Linked DNA regions of Macaca mulatta. The protein of the gene in region 2 interacts with the protein of the main gene of each other region in a biochemical or structural test. Links are inferred from orthologs where the notes say so. Each region holds a gene or a part of one and is shown on either strand. Other genes may lie near its edges.

Evidence for each region.
Region 1: the proteins of ERBB4 (region 2) and NRG2 form a complex in vitro, tested with the Homo sapiens proteins (2 studies listed by BioGRID). The link is inferred for Macaca mulatta from reciprocal best matches to the Homo sapiens genes ERBB4 and NRG2.
Region 3: the proteins of ERBB4 (region 2) and NRG1 form a complex in vitro, tested with the Homo sapiens proteins (2 studies listed by BioGRID and IntAct, with this or other methods). The link is inferred for Macaca mulatta from reciprocal best matches to the Homo sapiens genes ERBB4 and NRG1.
Region 4: the proteins of ERBB4 (region 2) and PTPN6 form a complex in vitro, tested with the Homo sapiens proteins (2 studies listed by BioGRID, with this or other methods). The link is inferred for Macaca mulatta from reciprocal best matches to the Homo sapiens genes ERBB4 and PTPN6.
Region 5: the proteins of ERBB4 (region 2) and SHC1 form a complex in vitro, tested with the Homo sapiens proteins (2 studies listed by BioGRID and IntAct, with this or other methods). The link is inferred for Macaca mulatta from reciprocal best matches to the Homo sapiens genes ERBB4 and SHC1.
Region 6: the proteins of ERBB4 (region 2) and RASA1 form a complex in vitro, tested with the Homo sapiens proteins (2 studies listed by BioGRID and IntAct, with this or other methods). The link is inferred for Macaca mulatta from reciprocal best matches to the Homo sapiens genes ERBB4 and RASA1.
Region 7: the proteins of ERBB4 (region 2) and YAP1 form a complex in vitro, tested with the Homo sapiens proteins (2 studies listed by BioGRID and IntAct, with this or other methods). The link is inferred for Macaca mulatta from reciprocal best matches to the Homo sapiens genes ERBB4 and YAP1.

Annotation. Positions count from the first base shown.
Region 1 is NC_133411.1:148,702,739-148,706,259, forward strand, and holds the end of NRG2 (pro-neuregulin-2, membrane-bound isoform), read right to left. Parts: intron 1,513-3,521; coding exon 747-1,512; coding exon of another isoform or gene 657-746; 3' UTR 622-656; downstream 1-621. UniProt on the Homo sapiens protein: Direct ligand for ERBB3 and ERBB4 tyrosine kinase receptors. Concomitantly recruits ERBB1 and ERBB2 coreceptors, resulting in ligand-stimulated tyrosine phosphorylation and activation of the ERBB receptors.
Region 2 is NC_133417.1:117,705,181-117,709,258, forward strand, and holds the start of ERBB4 (receptor tyrosine-protein kinase erbB-4), read right to left. Parts: upstream 2,801-4,078; 5' UTR 2,161-2,800; coding exon 2,079-2,160; intron 1-2,078. UniProt on the Homo sapiens protein: Tyrosine-protein kinase that plays an essential role as cell surface receptor for neuregulins and EGF family members and regulates development of the heart, the central nervous system and the mammary gland, gene transcription, cell proliferation, differentiation, migration and apoptosis.
Region 3 is NC_133413.1:34,586,724-34,590,358, reverse strand, and holds the end of NRG1 (pro-neuregulin-1, membrane-bound isoform), read right to left. Parts: intron 1,871-3,635; coding exon of another isoform or gene 1,750-1,870; exon of another isoform or gene 1,729-1,749; intron 1,341-1,728; coding exon 686-1,340; 3' UTR 619-685; downstream 1-618. UniProt on the Homo sapiens protein: Direct ligand for ERBB3 and ERBB4 tyrosine kinase receptors. Concomitantly recruits ERBB1 and ERBB2 coreceptors, resulting in ligand-stimulated tyrosine phosphorylation and activation of the ERBB receptors.
Region 4 is NC_133416.1:7,923,522-7,927,394, reverse strand, and holds part of PTPN6 (tyrosine-protein phosphatase non-receptor type 6), read right to left. Parts: intron 3,285-3,873; exon of another isoform or gene 2,684-3,284; coding exon of another isoform or gene 2,676-2,683; intron 2,588-2,675; coding exon 2,465-2,587; intron 2,207-2,464; coding exon 2,012-2,206; intron 1-2,011. UniProt on the Homo sapiens protein: Tyrosine phosphatase enzyme that plays important roles in controlling immune signaling pathways and fundamental physiological processes such as hematopoiesis.
Region 5 is NC_133406.1:112,035,984-112,039,574, reverse strand, and holds part of SHC1 (SHC-transforming protein 1), read right to left. Parts: coding exon 3,519-3,591; intron 2,313-3,518; coding exon 2,114-2,312; intron 2,027-2,113; coding exon 1,957-2,026; intron 1,875-1,956; coding exon 1,740-1,874; intron 1,578-1,739; coding exon 1,339-1,577; coding exon of another isoform or gene 1,234-1,338; exon of another isoform or gene 1,201-1,233; intron 323-1,200; exon of another isoform or gene 1-322. UniProt on the Homo sapiens protein: Signaling adapter that couples activated growth factor receptors to signaling pathways. Participates in a signaling cascade initiated by activated KIT and KITLG/SCF.
Region 6 is NC_133411.1:93,645,760-93,650,358, reverse strand, and holds the start of RASA1 (ras GTPase-activating protein 1), read right to left. Parts: upstream 3,004-4,599; 5' UTR 2,437-3,003; coding exon 1,919-2,436; exon of another isoform or gene 1,862-1,918; coding exon of another isoform or gene 1,857-1,861; intron 1-1,856. UniProt on the Homo sapiens protein: Inhibitory regulator of the Ras-cyclic AMP pathway. Stimulates the GTPase of normal but not oncogenic Ras p21; this stimulation may be further increased in the presence of NCK1.
Region 7 is NC_133419.1:102,977,021-102,981,586, reverse strand, and holds the start of YAP1 (transcriptional coactivator YAP1), read right to left. Parts: upstream 2,969-4,566; 5' UTR 2,912-2,968; coding exon of another isoform or gene 2,685-2,911; coding exon 2,364-2,684; intron 2,056-2,363; exon of another isoform or gene 1,892-2,055; intron 1-1,891. Other genes in the region: uncharacterized protein LOC144334584, read left to right, coding at 2,683-2,911, 2,969-3,669. UniProt on the Homo sapiens protein: Transcriptional regulator with dual roles as a coactivator and corepressor. Critical downstream regulatory target in the Hippo signaling pathway, crucial for organ size control and tumor suppression by restricting proliferation and promoting apoptosis.

The DNA.
Region 1 (3,521 bases), on a different chromosome or scaffold from region 2:
GACGGAGGGGCGTCCTGGAGGCTGTGGGGGACAGGAGCCGCCAACATTGGGCCCCTGGCAGAGCTGCCACCTCCCTGGGCCCAGGCTCTTGGGGAGACCTTTCTCTGCCCTCCTCCTCTAACAGCTGTGAGTAGCCAGGGCTTCCCCATTCCGGTAGCTGTGTCTTTATCTCCCCCTGGAAGTTACCCCAGCTCCAGCTCCAAGCCTAGGGTCCTGGCCCTCTCCTCCCAGGGGTCGGGAACTCCAGCTCTTGCCTGAGAGCAAAGCTACTTCTATCCTCAGTTCTTCCTCAGGGCCAACCCCTCACGGCCCCCCACCCTCGCCCCCACCAGAACCCCGCAGCCTCTTCTTTCCCTGCTGTCACTCCCAGCACCCCGCAACCAAGACCTCTCCCCCGGAGCCCCAGATGAGCGTACAGCAAAAGGCACCACAAAATAGGTTTCTATTAAAGAGTCAAAAAATTGGCCCATCTCTCTTTTTTTTTGTTGTTGTTTCTTTTTTTTTCCGAAGCTGTAAATCAGGATGTTACATATAAATAGTTTCCCTATAAAAACGTCTTTGCCGTTAGCTAGTATTATAAGACAATTTTTGCTAAAATGAAAATAAAACATTTTGTTATACTTTTTTCCTTTTATAGAAAATAAAAATATTTTTATTTATTTTTTCCTCCTTTCTCTCCAGTAGGCGGTCTCTGGTCTCCTTAAAGACAGTGGGGCGGGCGAGGCGGAGGTGCGCGCGGCGGGGCCCTAGAGTGGCGCCGAGTCCTGCTTGGCCCGCGGGGGCGGCCCGCGGCTGTGTCTGCTGCTGGCCCGCGTGCTGTGGCTGTCCAGGGAGTAGTAAGTCCTACTGTCGGCCGCCGGGCACAGTGGCGGCGAGTCCGAGCGCAGCGCGTCGTGCGCCGCGCGCAGGCCCAGGAAAGGCGTGCTCTCGGCTGCCAGCGCCCCGTCCGCGTCGTCCGCGTCGTCGTCCGACGCCGAGGCCGAGCCTCCCCCCGAGCCGCTGCTCAGCGACAGCGAGTCCCGCGCCGCTCTTGCGCGCTGCGCCGCCAGCCCGTTGAGGCGTGAGCGGCGCCAGCGCCGGGGCCCCGCCGACGTCCTGCGGGACGCGCCGCGCGCGCGCGGCCGCGGCGGCGGGGGCGCGCACTCCTGCGTGGTCTCGTACTCGTCGTCCTCGGGGATGCGGAAGGGGCTGGCGGGCAGGCTGCCCAGGCTGCCGCCGAGCGCGCAGGTCCCGCGCCGCGGTCCGGGCCCCGCCGCGGGGTAGTAGTAGCTGTCGTAGCTGCGCTGCATGTCTGCTCCGGGCCCGGGCCCGGGTCCCGGGCCGGGGGGCGCCGGGTGCCGCAGTAACGGCTGCTGCTCCGCCAGGCGGTAACTGATGGGCGCGGCCGGCGGCAGCGACACGGCGTGCGCCGAGTTGGGGGACGTGATCTCGAAAGTCGGCACCTGCGTGGCCAGCGAGTAGTGGAAGTCCACGGGCGAGAGGCGCGCGGGCGTGGTCAGGGCCGACACGTACCTGCGGGGAGAGGCAGAGGCATGGGCCAGGGCCAGGCCGGGCGGGGGAGGGGTTGGGGGAGTTGGGGGTGGGGTAGGGTGGGAGGGGCGGACATAGACTTGCCTTAACCTTGCCCGAGACCCCGCCTGCAAGAATGACGGCGGCAACCGTCAGTGGCCTTATGCAATTTCCTAAACCTCTCCGAGCCTCGGTTTCCTTATCTGTTACGCGGGCGTAACCATGGTGTTCATTCCATAGCTCTGTTGGGATGATGTATCGGGGGATGTGTTAGCCCTTGTGCCTGACCCGGGTGAGCTTCCATGAATGGTCACTTGCTGTGGGAATGCTCACCGTCAAGGGGGTAAGGCTCACACTGGGGTATAGTACATGTTCCATCTGGTTTAGTACGGCAGCTCTGTAAGACCCTTCCGCCAGTCCCATTCTACACACAGGAAACTAACACTCAGAACATTTAAGTAACTTATTCAGGATTTACACAGCCAAGAAGTGGCAGAGGTGGGATGTGACTTGAGGCTAGGCAGGAACCAGGACTCATACTGCCCAATTCCAGAAGCCACTAGTCCCCATTCAGATACCCCTGTGACCTGGACTCACTGCCCCACAAGGGCAATTCCTTCCATGCCCTGATGGCTCCAGTGAGGGAAATACTCCTTCTTATAGTGAAGTCAAAACCTGCTTCGGGGAGTACCAAAATCCCACTGAGGTGTCTCTGCTTGTGGCTACAGACCCCTCCCCACACCACCAGCTCCTTCAGAAGTCTGGCCTTGCTAATATCTTCCAGGCTGGATCCCAGGTACCTGTCCCTTTTTGTGCTCACATCCCCCTTGTAAGCCCATCAGCCTTCTGCCCCACCGTTGTCACCTCAGGACGGGGGCCACCCACCTCCATGCTTCCCTTCCAAACTGCACAGCTGGGCACCTCACTGCTCTCTGGAACCAGCCTGGAGTCCCCATTATGATTTTTTCTGCATTGCCTGACTCTTCCCTCTTCCCGCTCCCACTGGCACATCTAATTAACCACCAAGCCCTACCCATTCCCTTCTCTGGAAGCACAGTCTCCACCCCATCCTGGGCCCAGCTGTTCACATGTGGTCACCTGGGTCCACCCCAGGGTCTCTCCTCCTTCACTCTATGCAGTTCCCAGAGCAATCTTGTAATGTCACAGCTCTGCTGAAGCAGGTCTTCCTGTTTACCCACCCAGGGTCAGTCTCTCTGGCCTCAGCTTGCCTGTTCAGGCCCAGCTCCTCTGCTCCCTACAGCCCACCCTGTTCCAGGCACCTCACTCATCAGCCCTATTCTTAAGTGCCTCTGTTGGAACAGCTCAAGTTGTTCCCGGTGCCTGGAATGCTTTCTTCCTGCTCTCCTGCCTCTCCCCTTCCTACCACCCATTAAGGAGTCTCATTGCTGTGGTTATGATTGATAAATAGCTACACCTAGTGAGCATGAGCTCTATCCCAGGGATGAGGCAAAGAGCTCTGTGCACATGATCTCAGGTGGCCTTCACTTGAACCATGCATAGTAGCTATTGTTCTCCCTGTTCTACAGCTGAGGGAACAAGGTACAGAGGTGATCAGGCTGCCCCAAATCACACAGGTGGAGCTGGGCTTGGAAAACCTGGCTGCTTCCGAGAGCCTACAGTCAGACTGGGTCTCTCTGCCCTGCTGTGGTGTCATGTTTAGCACTTTCCATAGGCTGCTGTAAGCTTCCTTGGTTTGTTTCTGTGACTAGGAGCTCCTCAGGAGCAGGAACCTGGCAGGCCATTTCTGGATTTCCAGGCAGGCCTGCCCAGCACAGGGCCTGGCATGGAGTAGGCTGAGTTGAGAGCAGGGGAATATCTGCTCCTCTCCCCACTCCCTGGTCTGGAGTTTTTAGTACTACTCATCTTTCCCTGCTCGCCTCCTACAGACCCCACTTACTGAGGACCACTCAGGGCTGAGCAAGGTGGCAGGGGTGCTGGCCCTTGTGACTCCTGGCTTGGAGTCAGGGAAGAAGGGGCGTTTCGTGGTTCTT
Region 2 (4,078 bases):
TTAGTATGCGTGTTGCAATTATACCAGGGATGCACCCGAGAGTTTTTCTTTGTACGGCCCTTTCATCTGGATCACTTTGTGTTTTGAACAAGTGAGACTCGCCTTTGTGCCCCCAGAATTTCAAGTACAGAGTCACACACGGAACAATGGCACGCTAATCCTCGCGCTCTAAATGGGCTCACTTGTGGGTCTGACAATTCGCCCAACGAAACGAGAAGAGATGAGCGAGGGCGCGAGCTGGTGTCGCCTGAGACGAGGAAGAGGACAGCTGCAGAACTAATTTGGATTACATTCCTTGCAGAAATTCTGAAAAGGGCTTTTCGGCATAGCTCAACCCGGAGCCGCACAGTTAATACCAAATTGCTGCGGACTCGGAGCGGGGTCCCTCAGCGGCAGAGGCTGAACCAGCCAGCCCCCAGTAGGTCGCCTCGTAGAAATTCCTCTCGGCTAAGCCTGCATGTCGGTCGCCACTGCCTTTGAATGGGTCAATGTGTATAATCAACCCATTGAGGGAAAATATGAAGGGACTCGAAGTGGGGAGGGAGATAAAAAGAGATGTATCTAAGAGGCCGCTTGGAATGTCAAGTCCGTGTTGGTGTGATTCCGGGGGTGGCTGGAGCGCGGGACCTGGTATGCGTGAAGAATTTCGGAGTAATTGGGAGGGTGCAAACAGCCAGCACAAAACGCCGCACATGTGCCATTCGAAGGTCATTTTGAAAGCCTCGATGATTGTAACTTGTTGTTTACTAGGCAAAGGAGGCGGCGGCGGCGGGGGCGGAGCGGGAAAACTACAGCTTGCTGTTTCCTTGGTGAGGTCAGAAGGACACCCTCCGGGGGCCTAAAGCGCTCCCTATCGCCACTCCCGGGGGCTTTATCACCTCAAGCTACTTCCCACGCTCCAGTCACCATCCCCGAATGGTTTCAGAAATCTCCCTGGCTCTCCAAAAGGCACCCCTTGGCCGCATCAGACACCGGTCCTCCTCAGACCTCTCCCGTCCCACTTTCATCCCCAGGAAACTCAAGTGTCAGAAACTTTGAGCTTCCTTGCACTGCAGGTGCTGTCATTAGTCCTGCAAGCCTTGGCGCTCCAACCCCGCCGCGCTGCCTCTCGGGGTCAATTAGCCCTTTGCCTGCCCAGGTACCTGGGGCTCGAGCTCTCCAGCAAGCAGTGGCCGCGCACCCGCCGCCGCCGCTTGCGCCTCGGGTGGATCCAGTGACCCGCAGGCTCGGCAGCCCGGCCAGGCAGTAAACAGACAAGTTTGAAGGACTCCGGCCAATAGCAAGTTGAACTACAGGAAGAACTCTTCCAGGAGCCAAACACGGCAACCGACGGGAAGGCCCGGCTTCTGGCTCGAGTGTGCCAAGCCTTTTTTTTTTTTTTTTAAGAGGTCATGCAGGCGAGCAAGCGCCCCTCAAGTCAATGGGGCGAGGGCTCCGGGAAGCAGGCCGAAGAGGCCCAGAGCTCCAGACCCCGGACCGAGGCGCGCCCGCCCGCTGCACTCTTGCTGCCCGGGCTGGGTACGAGTCGCGTCTGACCCCACAAGGCTTGGGCGACTGGGGGCGCAGCGGCCGCCGGCAGCACACACAGGTGCAAAGCCCGGGTCTCTGAGCGCCACTCTCCACCGCCCTTCAGGCTTGGCGCGGGAGAGGCCCAGCCAGCACCTCCCCAGGACCCCGGCCCTCCGCGGCCCCGGCGGTGAGGGTTCCTCCCTCGAGGGACCAGACAGGGACAGGAGAGTCTCCTCTGACTGGGGATTTGGGTCTCCCATGTCCCGAACAACAGGCGCCACCAGAAGGGATCCCGCTTAGGCTCCCACACAAAACGCTCGGGAAAGAAAAACAGGGGGTTAAGGAGAGAAAAAAGAGGGGCTCAGAGTGATTTCTTCACGATAAAGCACAGGCACACATACAGGGTAAGTTTCAAATGGAAAGAGGGGCGACCGAGAGCCCAGGGAAGAAGTCCCGGTCGAGCGGTCCCTCCACGCCTCCCGGGATGGGTGAAGAGGGCGGGGGAGCCACTCAAGGCAGCCCCGCCGGCGGCGGCAGGTTAGGCGACCGGAGCGCCAGAAGGAACCCACCTGACTGAGAATCGCTGGGCTGGACGGTCCCCGCCGCCACGAGAAGGCTCACCCAGACCCAAAGTCCTGTCGCCGGCTTCATTTTTTGGAAGTCTCAGATCCCGTGCTGACAATTACATGTCCAAATGGCATATCCCCCTTTCGGGCACGCGGAGGAGATCCCCCAGCCGGGCGCGCGTGGGGGCGCGAGGGGGGCGGGCGCGGCGCGCGCGGTGTAGCGACTCCCAGGGCGGGCGACCTAGTCCGCGCCCGCGGGTCCAGGGCCGGGGCCCGAAGAGGGGGCGAGTGTGCGTGTGTTGGAGTGTGCTCGGTGTGTGCGCGTGGCGGTCCGGGCCGAACTGTGCAGTTATTTCCCCGCGTGAGCCTTCGCTTGCTCGCTGCCTCCTCACTTTCTCTCTCTCTCACTGGTTGGTCAACAATAAAAAAGGAAGGGGGGCGAAAGGTTTCCAAAAAAAGTTGATTGCAAAGAGGCAGTAGGTTTCCGGCCTCTCCCCGCAGCCGGGCTGTGTTCTGCTCCTTCTTCAGTTTCCTTGCACCTCCAGTCCAAATGGGGAGGGGAGCGGGGCGGGGGGAGCTTCTCGCTTCTCCCCGGATCCCGTCCTTCTTTTTCCTGTCAGCTTTCCTCACACTTGTCCGGCGGCTGCGGTAATTAAAGCTCCGAGCGTCATTTCCAACGCTCCGCGGTCTCCAGCTGCAGCCCACAGAGAAATTAATAAGACTCCAGAAAAAAAAAAAAAAAAGAAAAAAAAAAGGTGGGGGGGGCGGTGGGAATAAAACAACCCTCCACGCAACCAGGCAGGCTCTGCTCAGCCGCGCAAACCCCGCCCATGCTCTGACCCAACTAGCCACGCCCTTCTCCCCCGCCCCCCGCCCCAAAGGGAAATCTCATTGGCTCAGCCACTCCCCAAAATCCTAGGCCTCCGGAGTTGGGAAAACACCTGTCAGGGAGAGGGAGCAGCTTGGTGGGGGCAGGGGAAGCTGGATTTAAAGGGCTCACCGAAGCCATGCACTGAAGCACTCCTCTTCCCTCCCTGGCAGAGGCCTGGGACAGCTGGCCCGCAGAGTGGACAGACCATCGGAGGGGCGCTTACAGAAAAGATTTTTTAAAAAAACAAGTCAGCATTTTCTCCATTGTCCCACGGTGCTTATCTACAGACAGGACTTTCCCTAGAAATAAAAGAAAAGTCAACGTTGCTTTCAGCAAAAAGCCTCCGCCCGCAGCACTCTGCCACTCATGGTCCACAATTAGAAAGTACTTTAAAAGTGTGCACAGTAAGTAACTAGTAGCCCCTGAGGATTAGGTGGTGGTAGGGATATAATCACCGCCCCGCCTCCCGCCCCCAGTTATGCCATCTCTCCGGTTATTCCCACATTTCCAAACTGACCGACATTGAGCCAAACTAAAATTTCACATTTATAAAGCCATACCCTTTGATTTTTAGATTTTATGTTTTTTTCACCTTTGGAGTTCATTCTTATTAAGCAGATTCTAGTCCAAAGCCACTGATTTAATCTTAAAGGGCTAGAAATTGTCTCAACCTGAAAGTATTTAAGGAGGCCACATCAGAACATAATTAACCTTAAATGATTCTGCTTCTTCTACAGTAGACCCAGCTTTAGGCCCTTTCCTTGTCCTCACTCTGCACATTCATGGTCCCTAATCCGGAGGTCATTGCTAGTTATGAAAATCTCTGACCTTTTCTGAATCTAAAATATTCTGGGACTGGGTCATATCAATGTTCATATCCCTTGCCTTTTACAGCTCTGAAACCGCACCCTGGCAAGGACCAGAATCTCCTGGGGGTAGTAAGTTATTAGTTACTATTTGTACAGGCATTCTATGTATGAATCACTTTCCTTTTTTGGTTTTTCTAGAAGCAGCAAATATATAAATAAAAAGTATCAGGGGAGCTTAAAAATCAAACCACCCTGCCTTTCATTTGAGACCTGGATCTCCATTTCCCACTCTCTTATCTATAGCTCCATCCCTTAAGAATTTC
Region 3 (3,635 bases), on a different chromosome or scaffold from region 2:
ATGAGAGCTCCTTTTAGTAAGAGCAAGCTGTCTTCTGATTAATAATATAGTTTTTTTTTAATCACAGTATTACTTTCTTCCTAATATTTAACATTACTTAATGCGGTTTCTTGCTGTATTTAATAGTAGCATGCTGTTGGATCTACTATTATCTCAGAGCCCAATGAGGCAAACCTTTGGCTGGCAGAGTAGACACAACTCATTTCATATTCTGAAAGCAAAGAAAACTTCATACACAAGTGAGGCGTATCTGGATGGATGTGCCCAAGACATACTGATCGGGTGCTACTACAAGCAAACAGAGGGACAGTTGCAAGTCTTGCAAATCATACATCCAGTCAACATCATAATGCAATGCACAAGAAGCCAGCAAAAACTGAATCTATGAGAGGTTTTGCTGAAATACTGTGGAAAAGCAATCACTGTAACTGTACAAAACTTGCTCTCGACATAACATAACATAAAGGCACCATTGATATCTTTCTCGTTTTGAAATACTGTAAAAAATTGCTACATATGGCACATAACACATTTTTTACATACATATATTTAATTTATAAAAGTTTTTTTTTCCTGTTTTCTATTTGCAGAACTGCTAAAATAAAATAAATTGTTTAATTTAAGGTGGAATACTTTATTATATAAAATAAAGTTTTACAGGTGAATCTATGTGTTTATTTAGGTTTTATACAGCAATAGGGTCTTGGTTAGCAATTACACTAGACAGCCTGGCCTGGATTTCTTCCTGTGTCGAGAAGCGGCCTGCTGGGTTAGTCCTGCTGTCAGCCAGGCGGAAGGCAGGTGTTGCCTCAAGACTGGCTGCCAGGGGGTTCTGTATGCCCAGGAAAGGTGTATCTTCACCTACTCTTTCATCTTCTGTTTCGCTCTCTGAGTTACTGCTCTGGGAGCTTGTGTTGCCGTCCACTTCCAATCTGTTAGCAATGTGGCCATTGGGCTTGGTTCTTTTGGCCCGCCGGCTATTGGCGAGTTTCTTAACAGGCTCTTGGGCTGGCTCGTACTCCTGGGTCGTTTCATACTCCTCATCCTCCACTATCCTCAAGGGGCTAGGGGGGAGGCTGTTACTGTCATGCGCGGGGTTGTGATGGAAGGAGCTGAACTGCTGAGGGTGATGGTCAAACTTCTTCTCCCGCAGCCTTGGTGGTGTCACGAGAAGTAGAGGTCTCTCTTCTTCCACGAAGGGGCTGACCGCCATGGAAGGCATGGACACCGTCATGCTGGACACGGGTGGAGACATTTCCGAAGGGGGTGATTTGGGGGAGCTTGGCGTGTGGAAATCTACAGGTGACATACGAGCCGGGGTGGTCATGGCTGACACATACCTGTGTGAGCACAGAATACCCTGCATAAGTGTGGTGCAATAAGAGGCACATAGCAGGGAAGGTAAGGGGACAGAGTTCACAATAGTATATCATCAGAGAACAGAGAATTTCTATTCATTGTAGACTGCTCAATTATTTACGCTAGGACATTCCACACCCTTGGAATCGAAAATTAGGTAGCCAAGAGTTTCCTCACAGGAGTGCATGCAAAGATCAGCTAAATTGCCTAGCTCATCAAAGCTTTTGGGATTTTCAATCTCATCACAATTATAAATAAAGGCATATGAGCCAAGATAAGAAGGCATTAGGTCCTGGAAACCTCTCAGCTTATATAAGGACCAAGGCTCAGGGATTCGGAAGGGAAAGAAGTATTACTTAAATACTATACCTTCCTAAAGGCCAAGGGGTCTTAGAGAATGAAGCCCAAATGGGGAATGGAAGAAGATCTAAGATGAGTTGCTGATAGCTGGATCTGCATGCATTTGGATCTGTGTGCCTTGTTTCTCCTTAGCTCAGCTATAAGGTTATGTCTTATGAAAAAAAAAGAGCATAGTAACTTAGATTTATTCCTGACAACAGTGTCATACATTTGTGTGCTTTTCATATTTTCCATGAAATGCAACTAGTTAACATTCAATTTGGAACTATCCATCCCAGTGTCCAACAAACACAGTCAAAGGTAAGCCTGAGAGAGCCTAATGTTGGCTTCACAGTTACCACAATGAGGTTATGTCCAATCTTTGGTCTATCTCTCTTCCAAAACCCACAACTATATCAGTCTTTGGTTAATCTCTTTCATGATGCCTCAAGGGTTGGCTGTACCATGTTACCTTCTATCATGTTATGTCTGATAATGCTCAGTGACTCTTGCCATCAGGCCACCAAGCACACTGTTTTCACCATACCATGCTTTCTTCCCCCAATATAAGAAGTCCTGACTTTTGGCACTGAGGAAGACGTGGCTTATTCAGAGTCACATTTCTCAGCTTTTGATAAAAAATGCTACCAGCACACAAGACTAAATGACTCTTTTCTTCACACTGGCATTCACAGAGTCTAATTTGACATGACCTGAGATGACACGGAGTGCCATCATCTGAACTCTCGCTAACAGGAACAGAAAACCCATGAACCTCGCTGCTTCTCCATGATTTGCAGTGATACAGATATGAGAACTAACTGCCTCTAAACCGGGAACGTGCCTGAGAAATTGAAATACGTGGGCCTTGAGTCTTCAGACTTTTGGCTTTGGGGGTACTTAAATTAAGCTCTCTGAGAAATGCTAATTCAAATTCAACCAACATATAAAAGTGATTCATCTTTTCTCTCCATAATCTCTAGGTTAAAGGAATATTTTGTAGTCCTAGGTATTATCTGGAAGCCAAGCACAGCAGGGAGATGTCAACATTTAAAGATAAATATCACTTGTAGTGATGAGGAATGATTTCATCTCTAACTTCCTTTTCATGTTTCAAAAATAGACTGAAATAGAATGGATAGACTTCCTTAATACATAAAAAAAATTATATGAATTTAAGACTAAAGTTTTAAAACAGTTTAAACCCTGCCTTTCATAGATTAGTTGCAGGGAAACCTCTGATTTCATAAATTCCATAACGTTCTAAAATATCATTTTTGGGGAAAGGCCCTTGAAGAAGTAACCAATAGGCCTGCAAGCCCAAAATTTTTGTTTGTTTGTTTTTGTTGTTGTTTTATTTTTCTTGCTTTGTTGCCTAGGCTGAAGTACAGTAGCGCCATCTCAGCTCACTGCAGCCTCCGCCTCCTGGGTTCAAGCAATTCTCCTGCCTCAGCCTCCCGAGTAGCTGGGACTACAGCTGGGTGAGCACTGCCACGCCCAGCTAATTTTTGTATTTTTAGTAGAGACGGGGTTTCACCATGTTGGCCAGGATGGTCTTGATCTCCTGACCTCGTGATCCACCCACCTCAGCCTCCCAAAGTGCTGGGATTACAGGCGTGAACCATCACACCCAGTCTGTTAATTTTTGTTGTCAGTACTCCCCAGTCTTTATGTGGAAAGAGTCTATCAAAGTCATCTCTACCCATGGAACTACCACATAAGTATGGATTTGACATTATGTAAACCTTTTAGTAAATGGTCAAAGATTAGACTAAGATGACAATAAAATAAAAATAAATAAAATAAAATTCAGTGGACTTGCAAACAAACAGGTAATAGCTTACCTCTGATTTCATAAATCCCATAAAGTTCTAAAATATCATTTTGAAGGAAAGGCCCTTGCAAAAGTAAGCAAGAGGCCTGCAAGCCCAGAATGT
Region 4 (3,873 bases), on a different chromosome or scaffold from region 2:
CCAGGGAGGCGGGGAGGACAACCCCACTGGGGAAAGAGTGGTGTAGGGGGCTCTGGGGTGCCCTGGATGATGTCACTGAAGGGGAGCCCAGGGTTCAAAAGGGTTCAAAGGGATTCAAAGGGGCTGTCGGGGCAGAAAGCAGAACTAAGCCCTTTCCCCAAAGCACACCCCTTTCCCAGGAGGAAACTGTAGCCCCACAATGCCCTGCCCCACAGGAAACCACGTGATGGAAAAAACACAAAACTCCTTCTGGGGAGAGAGTGAGAAGTGAGGTTGTGAGGTTTCCTCAGCCCAGGGACAAGGGGAGGGCGGGCAAATTTTCCAACCGCAGGGATGGGGGGAAGAGGGGAGGACCAGTCTGTCCCAACCCATCTCACCCCTGCCCAGAGGTGACTCCAGCTGAGAGACCCCCCAGAGCCTCCATACCCCATTAGGCCACTTCAGCCCACCACCTGGGGACAGGCTAGGACCCCAGGCAGCAGGGAGGGGGCTGAGCCCCTTCCCTTGGGCCCCAGGATGAGGAAGTCTCCATGCAAATGTCAGGCTGACCACAGGAAGCGCAGAGCCACCGAGGGACAGATGCAAATTCCCGCAGAGAAGGAGGTGCCACAGACAAGGCAGGGGACACAGCAGAACCTGGGAGAAAGTCTCTCACACACTCCCAGGTTCGGGGGTGACACTGGCTCCTGGGATGGGTCACCCAAAAGGGCCTTCTGTGTGGCTTCCCCGGTCTTAACCTCCTGCCCCAGCACTGCCCTCCCTTCCTTCTCTCTCTTCTCTTTGAACCCAGGCCTCAGCCTCCTCTGCAGGGGCCTCCTGGGGCCCTGCTCCTCTCTTCCAACTCTAGGCACTGGTCAGCCCGTCCTCCTCCTCCTAGCTTGAGGCAAGGAGAAACAGAGGACATGAGCTTTAGAGGGTCTCGCTGGCAGAAGCCCCCTGAGTGTTGCAGTGGGGAAGAGGAAGGGCAGGGGGCAGACATAGAGCCAGCCATGTGAGGCTCAGATGAGGAAGGCCTTGAAGGAGGCAGATCCAGGAAAGGAGGCCTCCCAGGTGGGCCACAGGGCTGTACCGCGACCGAATCCAGCTCTAAGTTTCAATCAGTGACCTGACCAAAAATATTGAGGCAGTTTGGAGGCCCGAATCTAAGAAAGGCTGCAAGCTGGCAGAAGCAAGTTTCCCAATCATTTCAACAATCGATCCACGAATGCAGGGCAAGGGCAAGTCGGCTTGGCCCAGGGGTCCGTGTGAAAACCCCCTAGCGTTATTCCGCTGCCCTTTAAGAGGATCTGGCATTGAGATGTGGCTGCTGGAAGGAGCTATGGTGTCCTGAGGAGTGTTCAAAGCTCCCCAGCCCCCCATCCATGCCTTTGGAAGACCACAGGAGGAGTCGAGGAGGGCACAGGAAGGAAATGCCTGGAGTATTATTCTGTGCCTGAGACAGTGTGAGACCCTTTACACAGGTGAACACTTCACATCCTGCTTTCAGTGATCTCTGTATTTGACCCCACAGGACAGACCCATCCCCACTGGGCGGCTGGGACAAGGTGTCAAGCGTCCTGGCAACCGTTCATCCCCATCCTCATCCGCAGTGTCAGCTCCTCACTGTCCTGACATGCACTGGGGTGAGAGGCAGACGGAGGAGGGCAGGCTGGCTTCCAGAGGAAGAAGAGCTTTCTAACAACAGAGCTGGCCGGCACGATATGCTGGCCACCAGCAGTGGCCTCCCTGTGTCTAGTGGGACCTGGGCTGCAGCGGCCAGGGCCCCTGGTATAGGGCAAGGCAGCTTTCTTTGGCTTCCTCGGGGTTAGGTGGAAAGGGTGGTAGGTTAGGCTCTGAGACACCAGGCCACAGGACAGCATGAAGGAGGGACACTGAGAGCCCCAGCCGGTGCGGGGAGGGGAGGGGATGGAGGGCAGGCAGTGCCGGGTGCCAGGCTCCCTGTCTCCCTGGCCGCTCAGGGCGGGAGCCGACTCACCCCTGCTTGCGAGTGGCGGGGGTACAGAGGCCTCACCTCTCACTGGTGGGATCGGAGCAGTTCAGCGGGTACTTGAGGTGGATGATGGTGCCGTCGCGGTCTTGCAGGACGCCCTGCTGCTGAGTGTAGTACTCCACCAGCTCTGTCAGCGTCGCGAACTTCTCCCCTCCATACAGGTCATAGAAATCCCCTGAGTTCTGGATCCGAATATGGGTCACCTGATCCCCCACCCTGCAGGGCACCAGGCGGTGAGGCCAGTCGGTGCAGGAGTAAAGCAGGAGGGCAGGGATCGGCTGAGGTCCTGGGTGGGGGCACACATGGGCATGGGTGGGCACAGACAGGGGTGGGGAGGGCGGGGGTGGGGCGCGAGGGCACAGACGGGACGTGGGGGTCGGGGAGTCGGCACTGCCACGGAGAACCAGGAGTGAGTGGTTCAGGGCCTGGATGGCACAAGACAGTGGCCAAAACGCCGGGGGTGGGGGCACCTACCTGACAGAGAGTGAGAAGTCACCCTGGTTCTTGCGACTGGGCCGAGCCAGGAAGCTGCCATGGACACCTCGGCCCTTGAGCAGGGTCTCTGCATCCAGCCCACTGAGGTCTCGGTGAAACCACCTGGGCGGCCCAGGCAGGGCAGTGAGGAGGGGTCCCGTGGGCACCAGGCACCCTTGCCTCCTGTCTACCGTGGGTGGCAGGCCCTTACCTCACCATCCTGGGGGCTTCCGGAGAGGAAGGGGGCGCAGGGAATGAGGAGGTGCAGCTAGTCTGGGCAGGCGGAGAACTCAGGGACTAAGCCTCAAATGCAGCTCCCAGTGCCAGGCCGCTTCACCACCCCTAGTGGTCCCAGTTCTGGGGCTGCCACTCCACTGGCCTGGGGCGGCCGGCAGGGCGGGGACAGGAAGAGGCGCGGCCGACCCCTTGGGGGAACTCACTTGCACTTCTCGTTTTAGAGCAGAGCAAGGGAAGAGAAGCAGAGCACGGTGGCACTGGGGGTGGGGACGGGGCCCACTTCCCACACGTCTGCAATCAAAGGCTTAGGAGCATGGCATTGCACACATGTGACAACACATGCAGTAAGGACACACGTGTGCACTGCACACTCCAGGCCCAGATCATACTTCATGCATGTGAACCGAGACGCTCACACGGCATCTCTTCCTCCTCCACCAGCTGCTTTTACACAGCCCTCCCTGGCCCACGCTAATGACAATGATGGCGGTGACAGCTGTCAGCGAGTGAGTCCTGCTGGATGCCGGGTGCTGTGCTATAATGGCGTTCACATGCCTCGTCTGATTGATTTCTCACCACAGCCCTATGAAATAGGGGCTATCTTTATCATCTCACAGACAAGGAACCTGAGGCTCAGGAAGGGTAAGGCATTGCCTGAGTCCCTCAGTGAGTCAGCTGCAGTGCCAGCATTCAAACCCAGACAGGCCGGTTCCAAAGCCAATGCTTTGAACTCCTATACACCAGCCCTCAGGGCTTCAAAGAACAGAGATTAAGAGCCTCCTTGTGCAAAGGGGCTGCCATGGGAGTGGGAGACTGATAGTTAAGACCTTGCCAGTGCTTGCAAGAGAGAAGGGTGCACTTCTGTAACCAACATATGCGTTTTGTCCATGCCACTGTGGCAGAGGGATGGACAGCATGACCCTGAGCAGCCCTGTCAAACTTGGGTCTTTTCTGATTCTTGTCCCTAGGCCTCTGCCCCGCCCCAGGACTCCCACCAGGGGGCCTATCTCCGGGGGCCTGGGGTCCAAGGTCCTCGCCATGGCTGATTTTCTCAGGGCTGGTTGATCTTAGAGGCCCTAAACACTAAGGTATATGATGCTCCCTGCCTGTAATTCCAAATACAAATGCCAACACCGCCAAACCAAAATGAGGAAAAGAAGCTCAACAGGGGA
Region 5 (3,591 bases), on a different chromosome or scaffold from region 2:
GTCTAGAACTCCTGGCCTCAAGCAATCCTCCCACCTCAGCTTCCCAAAATCTTGCGATTACAGGCATGAGCCACCACACCTGGCTAAACAAGGAAAGTTTTGAAGAACAGTGAGGCAGTGCAAATAAGAGAAAGCACAGTGGTCTGACTCCTGAGTCTGAGGAGCTGGAGAAGCCCTTGGATCTTCTTACGAAAGGAAACTTGCAGTGTCTAGCCTTTAACCATGTGACATTGGGCCTCACAACCTCTTCGGGGTGGTTTCCTTATTTGTAAAAATGGGCACAGATGGCCGGGCGCGGTGGCTCACGCCTGTAATCCCAGCACTTTGGGAGGCTGAGGCGGGCGGATCACAAGGTCAGGAGATCGAGACCACGGTGAAACCCTGTCTCTACTAAAAATGCAAAAAATTAGCCGGGCGAGGCGGCGGGCGCCTGTAGTCCCAGCTACTCGGGAGGCTGAGGCAGGAGAATGGCGTCAACCCGGGAGGCGGAGCTTGCAGTGAGCCGAGATCGCGCCACTGCACTCCAGCCCGGGCGACAGAGCGAGACTCCGTCTCAAAAAAAAAAAAAAAAAAAAAAAAAAAAAAAAAAAATTAGCCGGGCGTGGTTGTGGGCGCCTGTAGTCCCAGCTACTCGGGAGGCTGAGGCAGGAGAATGGCGTGAACCCGGGAGGCGGAGCTTGCAGTGAGCTGAGATCCGGCCACTGCACTCCAGCCTGGGCGACAGAGCGAGACTCCGTCTCAAAAAAAAAAAAAAAAAATGGGCACAGATGAGATGACTGCCTTCTAGCTCTGATAAGGCTTGGGGATTTGAGGACGGGCCAGGACTGTATTTGTTTTGTTTTGTTTTTTTAGACAATCTCACTCTGTCACCCAGGCTGGAGTGCAGTGGTGCGATCTCAGCTCATTGCAACCTCTGCCTCCTGGGTTCAAGCAATTCTCCTGCCTCAACCTCCTGAGTAGTTGGGACTACAGGTGCCCACCACCACACCCAGCTTATTTTTATATTTTTAGCAGAGATGGGGTTTCACCATATTGGTCAGGCTGGTCTCAAACTCCTGACCTCAGGTGATTCACCTGCCTCAGCTTCCCAAAGTGCTGGGATTACAGGTGTGGGCCACCACGCCCAGCCCTATAGTGCCAGGACTATAAAGAACACAGTTCAGGCTAAGGGATGAGCCCCTGGAGGAAGATGCCAGACACCCTAAAGAGCAAGAGAGGCCCACAGAGAGCTGCCTAGCGGGAATGTCTAGAAAGCAATGAGGGAAGGAACAGGGATACACTGTAGGGTACTGTACCTTCCTTTCTGCCACCCCTCACCCACACCTCTGCCACACTCACCACACCCTCAGGGTCCACCAGTAGCAGATGCTTGGGCTGCCCACTCTGCAAGCCAGTGAGCACATACTGGCCAGGTGTGGTCGTGCTCTCCCGCACCAGGAAGTCCCCGTTGAGCTGCAGCAGTGCCTCAGCCTCCCGCCGACTCAGCTTCCCATGGAACCAGGGCTCCCCTCGGAGCTGCTCAGCCATGGACACTGACTGGGGAGGTGGAGGCACCCGAAGAGCATCTTCAAAGGGCTCTGGAAGTGTAGACAGAGGGTGAGGGAAAGTAGCAGGCACAACACACACCCAAGACCCAGACTTCAGGGAAGGGAAGTCAGGAAGGAAAGAGCAGATAGGCAGGAGAAGGGCCAGAACCAAGTAGAAAGGTGGAGATGCAGAGAGGAAAGACAAGCACTCACTCATATCAAACAGGTCACGGGGTGCACTGCCATTGACAGCAGGATTGGGGAGCCCAGCACCACCCACTGCTTGCCGGACCTTGTCTAGGTTCTGGACGTTGACATAGGAGGGATCGTCAAAGAGCTCTCTGCCTGCTGAGGAAAGAGAGGTTCTACAGTGATCCCCAGCCCTGCCTCCAGCACTCCCTGGCTCTGTCCATCTCAGCTCCCTTCATACCTGGACAGGGTGGTGGAGGTGGCATCTGTTTTCGGACTTCTGGATCTCCCCCAACAGGCTGTCCTACAGGCTGCAGGGATAAAAATAAGGTGAGACCAGAAGCCCTAAACAACCACTCCCACCCTAGGCCCAGCCCACCTCCATCCAAGCAACTTACCAGTGTAGCTCCCAAGTGGCTAGGGGTCTGGGCACTGGGTGCAGTGGATCGAGCAGCCCCTGGAGCAGCTCCTTCCCGAAGCCTCATGTCTACCACCCCCCCCAGGGGGGGTTCCTTCCCCGGGAAGTCATTATAGTACTGATGGTCAGGTGGCTCTTCCTCCTCCTCATCCCACGCTGAGCCATCAAAGCCAGCCATCCTGAGGGACAGGACAGTGAAGGTGTAGCTGTAAATGTGTGGTGGGCAGGAGGAGGGGAGGAGGGAATAGAACAGCAGCCATCTATTGGGTATTTACTGTGGATTAGGCCTGAGGCTGAGTGTTTTATATACATAATCATTTCATTCTCCTGGCAACCCCATAAGGTAGGTATTGTTTCCTTCCCCAATTTTACATATGAGGAAAATGAGGGTCAGAGGTGAAAAGATTTGCCCAAGGTCTCACAACTAAAAGGCGGCTAAGCTCAGATTTAAATTCAGGTTTGACTTTAAAGCTCGTCCCCCTTGGCCAGGTGCAATGGCTCACGCCTATAATCCCAACACTTTTAGAGGCCAAGGAGGGAGGGCTGTTTGAGCCTAGGAGTTCAAGACCAGCCAGGGCAACATAGCAAGACCTTATCTCTACCAAAATAAAAATACTACTACTCAGCCACGTGTGGTGGCATGCACCTGTGGTCCCATCTACTCAGGAGGCTAAGGTGGGAGGATCACTCAAGCCCAGGGTATGAAGGCTACATTGAGCTGTGATTGCACCACTGAACTCCAGCCTGGGCTACAGAGCAAGGCTCTGTCTCAAAATAAGTAAGTAATGCTTTTGCTCTTGATCTCTGTGGGAGGCGCTCCAGCTCCAGAAGCACTATGGGGGGGGGGGGTGGGGTGTGTGTGTGTGTGTGTGTGTGTGTGTGTGTCTGTCTGTCTGTCTGTGTGTGTCAGCGTCAGCAGGGAGGCGCTCCAGCTCCAGATTTTACCTCCAATCCCTACTGGCTCCACTGCTTATCCCTCAAGGCCTGAGGTGGGAAAGATTGTAATCTCAGGGAAAAGAGATATCCTCCCAAACCCAAAGTCTTGATGGCTTCTAGAGGCAGGAAAACACAGAATGCCAAGCAGAGAAATGAGCAAGAAAGAGGAATGGGAATAGAAAATCCCACCTAGCCAGAGAGAGATGTAACTTGGAGGCCCTGGACTACAGCTCCACCATGAGCAAACAAGAAAAGCTGGCCCTGCGGCAAGCAGGGCCTCAAAAGCCTTTCCTCCTGGGCCACAGGAAACAGAAGAATAGCAGGAAGTGGGAAGCAGAGGCACACAGGTTATTCCCTCCCTGAACCTCTCAGCTCAAGTGTGGGAAGAACAGCCCTCCTTTCCCAATCTTGGTCTCAAAAGCTGCTCCACACTCTCCCCACTTGCTCACCTGTCATGAGGGGTGACCAGTTTGGGTGGGTTCCTGAGGTATTGTTTGAAGCGCAACTCAAAGGCCTGGCCAA
Region 6 (4,599 bases), on a different chromosome or scaffold from region 2:
CTGTGTGTGTGTGTGTTTTGTTTGTTTGAGACAGAGTTACACTCTTATTGCCCAGGCTGGAGTTCAATGGCGTGGTCTCGGCTCACTGCAACCTCCGCCTCCAGGGTTCAAGCGATTCTCCTGCCTCAGTCTCCTGAGAAGCTGGGATTACAGGCACCTGCCACCACACCAGACTAATTTTGTATTTTTAGTAGAGAGAAGGTTTCTCCATCTTGGTCAGGCTGGTCTCAAACTCCCGACTTCGGGTGATCCACCTGCCTAGGCCTCCCGAAGTGCTGGGATTACAGGCGTGAGCCACCGCGACCGGCAAAATTGGAATTTTTAACACTCCCTGAACACTCCCAGGGACTCTGCATTACAATGACATGAAATAAATTGTCGTGTAAAATTTGAACAAAACTCTGACGCAAGACTTGAACCCTTTATTGAGGAATATAAAAGGTGGAACACTACATCCCTATAACATGGCTGGCATAAATATGACTAACTTTACTTTTCCACTTTAAGTATCAAAAGATGCAGCCTTAAGTCAAAAATAGATGAGGGTAACAGAATCTTTTCCTAGTTTCAGTCCTTTCTAAATGCTCCAAAGAAGCTTATCCAAAAAAAAAAAGGCCGGGCACAGTGGCTCACACCTGTAATCCCGGCAGTTCGGGAGGCTGAGGCCAGCCGACCACCTGAGGTCAGGAGTTAACATACCAGTTTGGCCATATGGCGAAACTTCGTCTCTATGAAAAATACAAAAATTAGCCAGGCATGGTGGCATGCACCTGTAATCCCAGCTACTAGGGAGGCTGAGGCAGGAGAATCTCTTGAACCCGGGAGGCAGAGGTTGCAGTGAGCCAAGACCATGCCACTACACTGCAGCCTGGGCAACAGAGCTAGACTCCATCTCTTGGGGGCAATGGAGAGAGGAAAAAAAAAAACCTCTGAATTGTCCAGAATGACTGTCAACATATGAACCAAATCTTTCTTTCCTGATATTCACCAAGGTTGTTAAAATTCTAAGGGTCAATTAAGAGTTATACGAGAAACCTATAACAAGTTTTGCCTAATACCACTTCCCATCGCAACATTTTCATCAAGGTCCACCTTTATGAATAAACACCTAAGTTCAATTAAGACAAGTGAGGAGGTATTAACTTACATTAAAAAAAAAAGTCATTGTCCTGTATATTCTACTTAATTTTCAAATAGAATACTATACTGGCCACCAACAAAAAATGTTTAAGGGAAGCTCTGTTAATTTTGTTTTGTCTCACTGTTGTACTTCCAATGTCTCGACTATAAAAGCTAAGTGGGAAGCCTAGGGAAGAAGATACATTGTTGAAATAAAGGCGCTTAATCACACCTATAATTCACAGTATTCCTTTCCTTTCTCTCTGACCCAAGTTCTCATTAAGTGACCCACAGACTCTTCTAAACATCACTATGCTTTCTCTAATCAGAAGCTGGGATGTGCACTGAAATAAATACATTCTAACCAATACATTTTTCAAATTATTAATACAATACTCGTTTAAATATTTGTATTCAAAATTTCTCACTAATCATCTAGCTTTATCAAGTAACACACACAGGTTAATATACACTATGACTGCCTTGGTAGCCGCAGTTTGACTAAATCCTGGGACACCACTTCAACTTGGAAGGGACAGAACCATATCCGGTTCTCATCAGATACACATTTTCTCATACTTTCCATCTTAAAAACTTTACACCTTCCCAGAAGAGCAATAAATGTAGGAAGACGCCAGGTAGTATGCCTGTAAGGAAGATAAGTGATCAAAGAAACCTGAAACTTCAAAAACTTTTCCTAAACAAATCACAGATGAAAAAGACAAAGTATGGTTTACCCCATTTCCACTTCTTTTCTGGAGCCAGCTGCCCAAATTCCTGAACAGCAGTCTTAACTTACTGGTTAGTTGGAGGAGCGGTCAATGGTATGGCCACCTCTTCCTCCTCGTATTCTGGTCCATCCAGAGAGTCACCTTCGTCCACTGTCCCCAGGCCCGCCCCCAAAGGGGGCAGGTAAGGGGGAGGGGGCAGAGGGGGAAAACCGCCGCCTGGCCCAAGAGTCTCAGCAGGCAACGAAGTGGGCAGCTTGGTGAGAGCCATGTCTCCACTAGGTCCAGCGACAGCAGCACCGGCCACGCCAGCAGCAGTACCTCCCCCTGTCAGTCCGGCTCCCCCCAATGCCCCTGTCATAGACCCGGCTCCTAGGAACCCTGACCCCAAAGCGGCTCCGCCACCCAGAGTTCCAGCCACTCCAGTCTCCACCAGCCCAGGATAGGGGGCGGCTGCCACAGGCAGGGCCGCGGGTATCTTCACCCGACACACTGCGGGATAGGCACTGGAGCCCGCTGCCGCGCCGCCTCCTCCAGCTCCGGCTGTTACCGGGCCGCCCTCCTCACTGCCGGCCTCGGCCGCCATCATGTTGAAGCCCGCTCTACTCTGCCCTACCCTGCCCGCCCGGGAGCCCCGGGGGCCACCAGGCCCGGGCTCCGAGCCGCCCCACCCAGACGCGTCTCCCCTTCAGCTCCCCAGGCGGAGGAAACAACAACAAAAGGAGAGAGCCCGCCGCCGCGCCCCCTCCTAGGGCCACAGCCCAGGCTCCGGAGCTGCTTGGGTTACGGGAAGCGAAGTGGGCAAAAAACCCAACGCCTGCACAAACGCCACCCAAACCTCACGGCACACACCCACACTCACGCACACAAACACATGTACAGAAGCGAAAACTTCCTGGCTGCACTAAAGAGGAAAGGAAGCACAGGGAAAGAGGCTTAGGTGGCTATCGCTCCTTCAGCAGCCACCACCGCTTCTTCACCACCCCAGTTCCGGCCACCCACACCGCAGCCACCGCCGGTGCCGCTGCTGAGGCTGGGGCCACTGCAGCCGCTTCATCCTCCACCAGGCAGATGAGAGGGGTGGGGACAAGAGAAAGGGGGGCGGGGTAACAAGGAAATCGACTGAACTGCTCACTACCTGGAGCTCTCAGTGACTGAAACCGTAGAGAGAGAAAGGAAGGCGGGGCAGGGGAGGAGGGACGGAGGGAAGGAAGGGCGGAGGAGGGAGAGGGCAGCTTGTGCGCAGGCGCGTTCCCGGAACGGGGAGCGGGGAGCGGGGGGCGGGGGGCGGGGGGCCGGGCCTGGAGGAAAAGGAAGAGTCCAGAGGGAAGGAAGCGGCGGGGACGCGCGGTGCGTGGTCGCGCTTGCTGTCCTACTCCGGTTCCTAGCGTGCGGCGGCGCGGCCGCATCTCCTGTTGGCGTGGCCGGCGGCGCGCGCCTGTCTCCCGGGGCTTTGTTTGATGGGCGGGAGAAGAGGGAAGGGTACCTGAGCACGCGGGTGCTCGGCGCTGTGAAAGCCGGAGAGACGAGAGGGGGACCGGGAGGCGGCGGAGAGGAAGAAGGGGGAAAGGGAAAGGAAAATGCCTAGAAACTAGTTCCGTACTTCCTGACCGGTGGAAGAAACAGCCTTAGCCAGCAGCGCAGAGACCATGCAGGAGTCAGGTAGCTTTGAAGATCGGGGCAGTACTAAATGTTGTCTTTTTCGTTGCATGCTATAAATCACCATGACTATCTCACACACACACAGATAGAATAGATTCTGAAACTCCGAAACGAAATAAAGGGCACCATATGAGAAGGGTGGGGAATTTTGGTAGAAATAGTGGTTATGAAGTAAGATTTCTACTAGTATTTGCATAGGTTTTTCTTTATCAACTGTCTCATATACTTACCTATGCTATTATAAGTCTGTTGTATACTGATGAAGAGGAGGGGGTGCCACAGAAAACACTAATCAATGCACTTTTGTCCTCTGTGTGCAAAAGACTGCAGGGTGTGATCCGCAATGCAAGCACCTTCAACAAGTCAAATGTCAAGAATGTCTCAGAATGCCAGTTACAATTATATATCGTTTCTAAAGTAGCAATAAACTGAAAACTCATTTTTAATACAATTAAGGAGAAGAGTGTTATTTTGTCTTCTACACTAAAATGTATACAAACTATTACATGCATTCATGTACAGGGAGCTTCCCATGGTTTGAAATTAACGGTATTGTTATTTTAAATTCTCCCAGTAGTAATCCCACGTTGAATACCATTGGATATTGATCTTTGAGATCAGTATTTTCTCTGCTAAGGATGATCAAGCCAACACTCCGGATGGCAAGTGGTTGTGATAGAAACCAAGGAACAAGAGAAAAGACCACTGAAAGAGGTGGCAAGATACAGGCAATGCATTTTCTTTGTAAATTTGCGTAGGCCTATTTACCTAGTCGATGACAACGATCCAACTTGATTAGGAGTAGTCCTGGGACCTCCATTATGCTTATGTCTTAGGCAATGTGCTACTTGGGAGAAGGAAGATGAACCAGTCACAGGAGCTAGAGTTCTCGAGTGAATTAAGGCCAGCAACATCCTAGGAATTCAGTAATGCCACCTCAGACCTTCTGAATCAGAAACTGTGCAGCAATCCATTTTAACAAGCCATCCAAGTGATTGTTTGCCCACTTAAGTTTGAGAACCACTATATTAATGTATAGTATACTAATCAAGAAGGAGGTATGCAATACCTAAAAAAGGTTCTGAAAGAT
Region 7 (4,566 bases), on a different chromosome or scaffold from region 2:
CTATATATTTGTATGTAGAAGATAATGAGGTTATCAGTCCAATTATAACTTAAGAACTCACAGACATTCACAACTCTATACAAGCAGAAAAAATTCTGCATTCAGACCCCAAAGATCTGAGTTCCAGTCTAAGCTGGCTAGTGTGACACTGAACAAGTATGTTAACTTCCATATGCCTGTTTTCTCGTTTGTAACATAGTTTTCAAGACAGAAAAATGGATGTATATAAAACAACTTATAGTCACCAGTTTGTGTTGTGAACAATAGTATTCACAACCTACATTCTACTATTCACAATCTTGCATAGTTTTTAAAATGTGTCTAATTAGAATTAAGAGTTTGATTATCAAAAAGTTAGAATTTCCTAGATTCACAAAGGTAAGGAAACCGGAAGGACTCAGTAGAGTCATTAATGCCTTAAAGTGATAGACCTTTCTGAGTGTCCCATCAGAATAAGTATGATTTAGAAAATCACTAGCAGAAATAAAAGTCCAATTTACAGATGAGCAACACTTAGTTAAAAACTTATTAAAAACAAAACTGTAATAGTTTATGAATTTTAGAACTGCTGGATATAAATTCTTGTAAAAATTACCTACTAGAAGAAAAAGTACACTTTCCAGTTGTGACTCTTTGTCACAAAATGGGGGATCCAATCTATGTGTAGTATACTTTGAAAAAATACCGTGTAGTCTGCAGGGTGCATGCCAACACACATTTACTTACAATGAGTCCATAAACCAACTTCCAGGGGTAAGAAAAAAAGCATACCTAAGTCTATCTCTGACAAATTGAACTGTTTAGGCAAGCAGCTAAATTGTTTTTCCTTCCTTCCTCCTCCTTAACCCGGGTTTTTGTCATCAGGTTAAGTGAGTTTTTCTGAGTTCCAAAACCCTGTGGTCTCTGACAGAAGAATATACAACAGGCCTGCAAATAGGACAGAGGATGGGAGTGGGGGCGGTAACTCTTCTTTCCACTCAAGTTACAGCCCGAGTAGGCTAACTACATTGCAGTATTTGGAAAACCTATTAACTTTTGGGCAAAGTTCCTATGCTGAAGTTTAGCCTGAAGCAAGTTCTTTAAAAAAAAAAAAAGAAGAAAAAAGAAAAGAAGGAAAAAGAGAGAACCCTACACTAAACAAAACCACTGGGACCTATCGGAATGTTAACACTCTCATTATAAATAGTTTCACTTCTATGCTGAATCAAGCTGGCAAAATAATCGAACGTTGTGTATGTGGAAAAGCAGCCATGTTCATATCCGCAATAAGAATTAAAAAGCAATGGCGATCCTAGAATTAGTCATCGCTTCCCAAACATTAACTTTTAATCACAGTTGAACTAGGCAGGACTTGGCCTATGAGTCAACCCGCAGTGTATTATCAAAGGCTTGTGTTAAAACCTCGGTACTGTAAAGCGCAACTCAGTTCCTGCGCAACGTACAGATGTGGCTAATTCAAAAGCTTTTCAGCCGACTGTAAATAATAGCCTACGATCGGGAAACCAACACGCAACCTACTAAGTTTGATAAGAGCGAGCCGACCCAAGTTCCAAGACACAAGGGAAGCGCAGGGGTGAAAGAACTCCATAAACAACTTCCAGGAAAGTCTGGGCAGGGGAAGCCCGAAACCTGTATTCAGAAATCGCCTAAGCCGCGAGGAAAATAAATGCTTACGGGAGGGGGAGGCGGAGGGGGAGGGGAAATGGGTAGGGGGGAGGGAAAGAAAGAGCAAAAAACTAAATGGACCGGTTCTACCCCCACCTCTAATCAACACTGGAAAACAACAGAACAATTATTTGACTCCCCCAGGAGACTGAAGTGGACCGAGAGGCCGCAAAGGAAAGGGGCCCAGGGCTCAACTTCACAAACTCGGCCGCCGCTGGCAACTCACCCACACACAAATGCCAGAGGCCCCCCTCCCCCTTTCCCGGCCCGGCCCCGGCGGGAGCGAAGGTGCGGAGCGCGCGGAGGCGCGCGCATTGTGCAAGCCCACCGCGGCCCAGGCTCGGCTCTCCCCCACCCCCTTCCTTCCTCCCCACCCCTCCTCCACTCCCGCCAACCTCCCGGGAACCCCGGGAAGAAAGAAAGGAAGGAGGGAAAGCACGCCCCCCGGGGCCGCAACCGCAGAAAGAAACTCCGAAAGGAAAAACAAATCTCAGCCCCGGACTCTGGGAGGAGTGGGGAGCTGGTCACCGCGGCCGAGCGGACGACTCCAGTTCCTCCACTTCGCCGCGGGACCCCCACCCCAGCTAGAGCTCCCGCAACCCCCTCCCCTGGCCAGAGCTGGCGGCCGCGGCTCCCGAGCGCCCCCCCGGTCTGAGGCCCGCCCGACGGGGAAGCGGGGAGAGGGGCGACAAGGTTACCTGTCGGGAGTGGGATTTGGGCTCCGGCGGCTTGAAGAAGGAGTCGGGCAGCTTCCGGAGCCTCATAGGCACGGTCTGGGGCACGTTAGCCGTCTTGGGGTTCATGACGGCGTTGAAGAGCGCCTCCAGGTCGGTCTCCGAGTCCCCGCGGACGTGCACGATCTGATGCCCGGCGGGGGGTGCCTGCGGCGCCGCCTGGGTCGCCGCGGGTGCTGGCTGCCCGGGTCCGGACGGCGGGCCCTGCCCCTGGGGGGGCTGCGCAGGCGGCTGCCCTTGGCCCTGGGGGGCCGGTTGAGGCGGCGGCTGCTGCCCGGGATCCATGGCTTCTGCCTCCCCCGACGCGCACCCCCTAAACCAGGCGGGCGAGGGCTCCGCCCGGACGCCCCGGCTCCACAGGCCGAGGTGGAGAAGCGGCGACGGCTGCGGGCCGGGCGGTGCTGGGCGGCGGGAGCGACGCTCTCCTCGCTCTCAGGGCCGGGGGGCTGCGCCGCGGCCCCGCATCCCCCGCCCCGGCGCCTCCGCCCCCGCCCTGCGCCCCGGCTCCACTGGTCTGGCGGCTGCGCCTCGGGAGGGGCTGCGAGGGACTCGGACCTGCGGCGCCTGAGAACTTTTTCCCTCCAACTCCCTTGACGGAGGCCGGACAGCTCGTTGCCTTTCCCCTCCTCCCCCTTTCTCTTTTATTTCCTTTTCTTGTTCCTTCCTTCCTCCCTTTCTTTTCCCTGGCGGCGGCTGCGCCCGACTGAGACAGAAACTCGCCTCAGACGCCAAAACTAAAGTTGTGAGAAGCGCCCGCCCGCGCCGCCGCGGCCCCGCCTCCTCTCGGCTCTTCCTTCCTCTGCGCGCCCGCCCGCACCGCGGCCCGGCCGGCAGCGCAGGGAAACTTTTCGCTGCAAGTTGCTACATTCCTGCACACTCCCAGCCCTCCGCGCCTCTCCCGGTCGCACGTGACCCGCTCGCCCTGGTCCGGTCCGCCCTTCGCCCGCGCTCAGCCCGGCAGGGGCCCGGAGCGTGCCCCGTGTTCTACGCCGCGAACCACAAACGCTGGGTCCATTCCGAGGCCGAAGTGTGGTCTCTGCGGAGAACGCGGCCGCCCTTGGCCCCAGAAAGTCCTTCCGCCCCGCTCGGCTCCTTTTCCCGGCCCGTGCTCGGGAAAGGCGCTTCCAGCTCGCCTGGACTTGCGAAAGGACGAAGGCCGAAAGAAGTGGAGAGAGGATGTGCGAACCCACCTCCTCCTCCCGCGTTACCCCGGCTTGACCGAGCGGAGCGCCAGTGCGGGCTTAAAGCCGCCAGGATAGATGGGAGTTAAAATAGATACGGTGAGCCGGCGCTGATGTTAATAAAGGTCCATTGTTTTCAGCATTAACTTTATTTTGTAATTCTGTTTCACTTATCTGTTAGTGTGCGAAAACTCACTTGAAAGGGTAAACGGTTACTGTAATTGAAGCTTTGAGACCAGGTCTGTGAGTCAGTGTAACTTAGTAAAAGAAACAAAAACACTACATTTTCTAAATAGTGAAATCACATCAACTGTTTTAGTACTCGAGTTTGCAACATAGTCACTGGAAGCCTCAACCCAAAAAAATCAGTGCTTCTTCAGGTACAAGCATTCATTCCTCTGTACCTGCCTTTCATCCTCAGGGAGCTGGGTGCCTACCCCTGCTATCCCTGTGCCTGGCCCAAGGGTGGACTCCGTTAATGTGGACTGAATAAGAAATGAATGGGCAAGTAGGTCACCCCAGGCACCTGATGTACAAGGAGCCCATTGGAAGCCACTTAAAAACAATGGAAATATGTTGTTTAAGTCATACACTCTGGTTTTTTTTTTTAAGCATCCTTGTTGAGATGTAATTCATATACCATACAATTTTTGTAATATTTGTACATATTTGTATATTTAAGCAATTCAGTGGGGTTTTTTTGGTTTTGTTTTGTTTTAGTATAGTCATAGGATTGTGCAACGTCAGTCTAATTTTAAATGCACTAGCCCATTCTAAGGAAATCTGGCTTTCTTGTTTTAATGATTTTATCTACAATGCTAGTGAAACAGAGGTATAAATAGGATTAAGCAAGGAAAAAGTCCGGTAGCAAAAACATAATCTCTTCCTCCAGCCAGAACATGCCCAAGAGAATTCTGAAGGATCTGTATCACTTGGTGTGGTAGGGCTCGGCCAAAGGAGCAGGCTTCAGACACTCAAAATTCTAA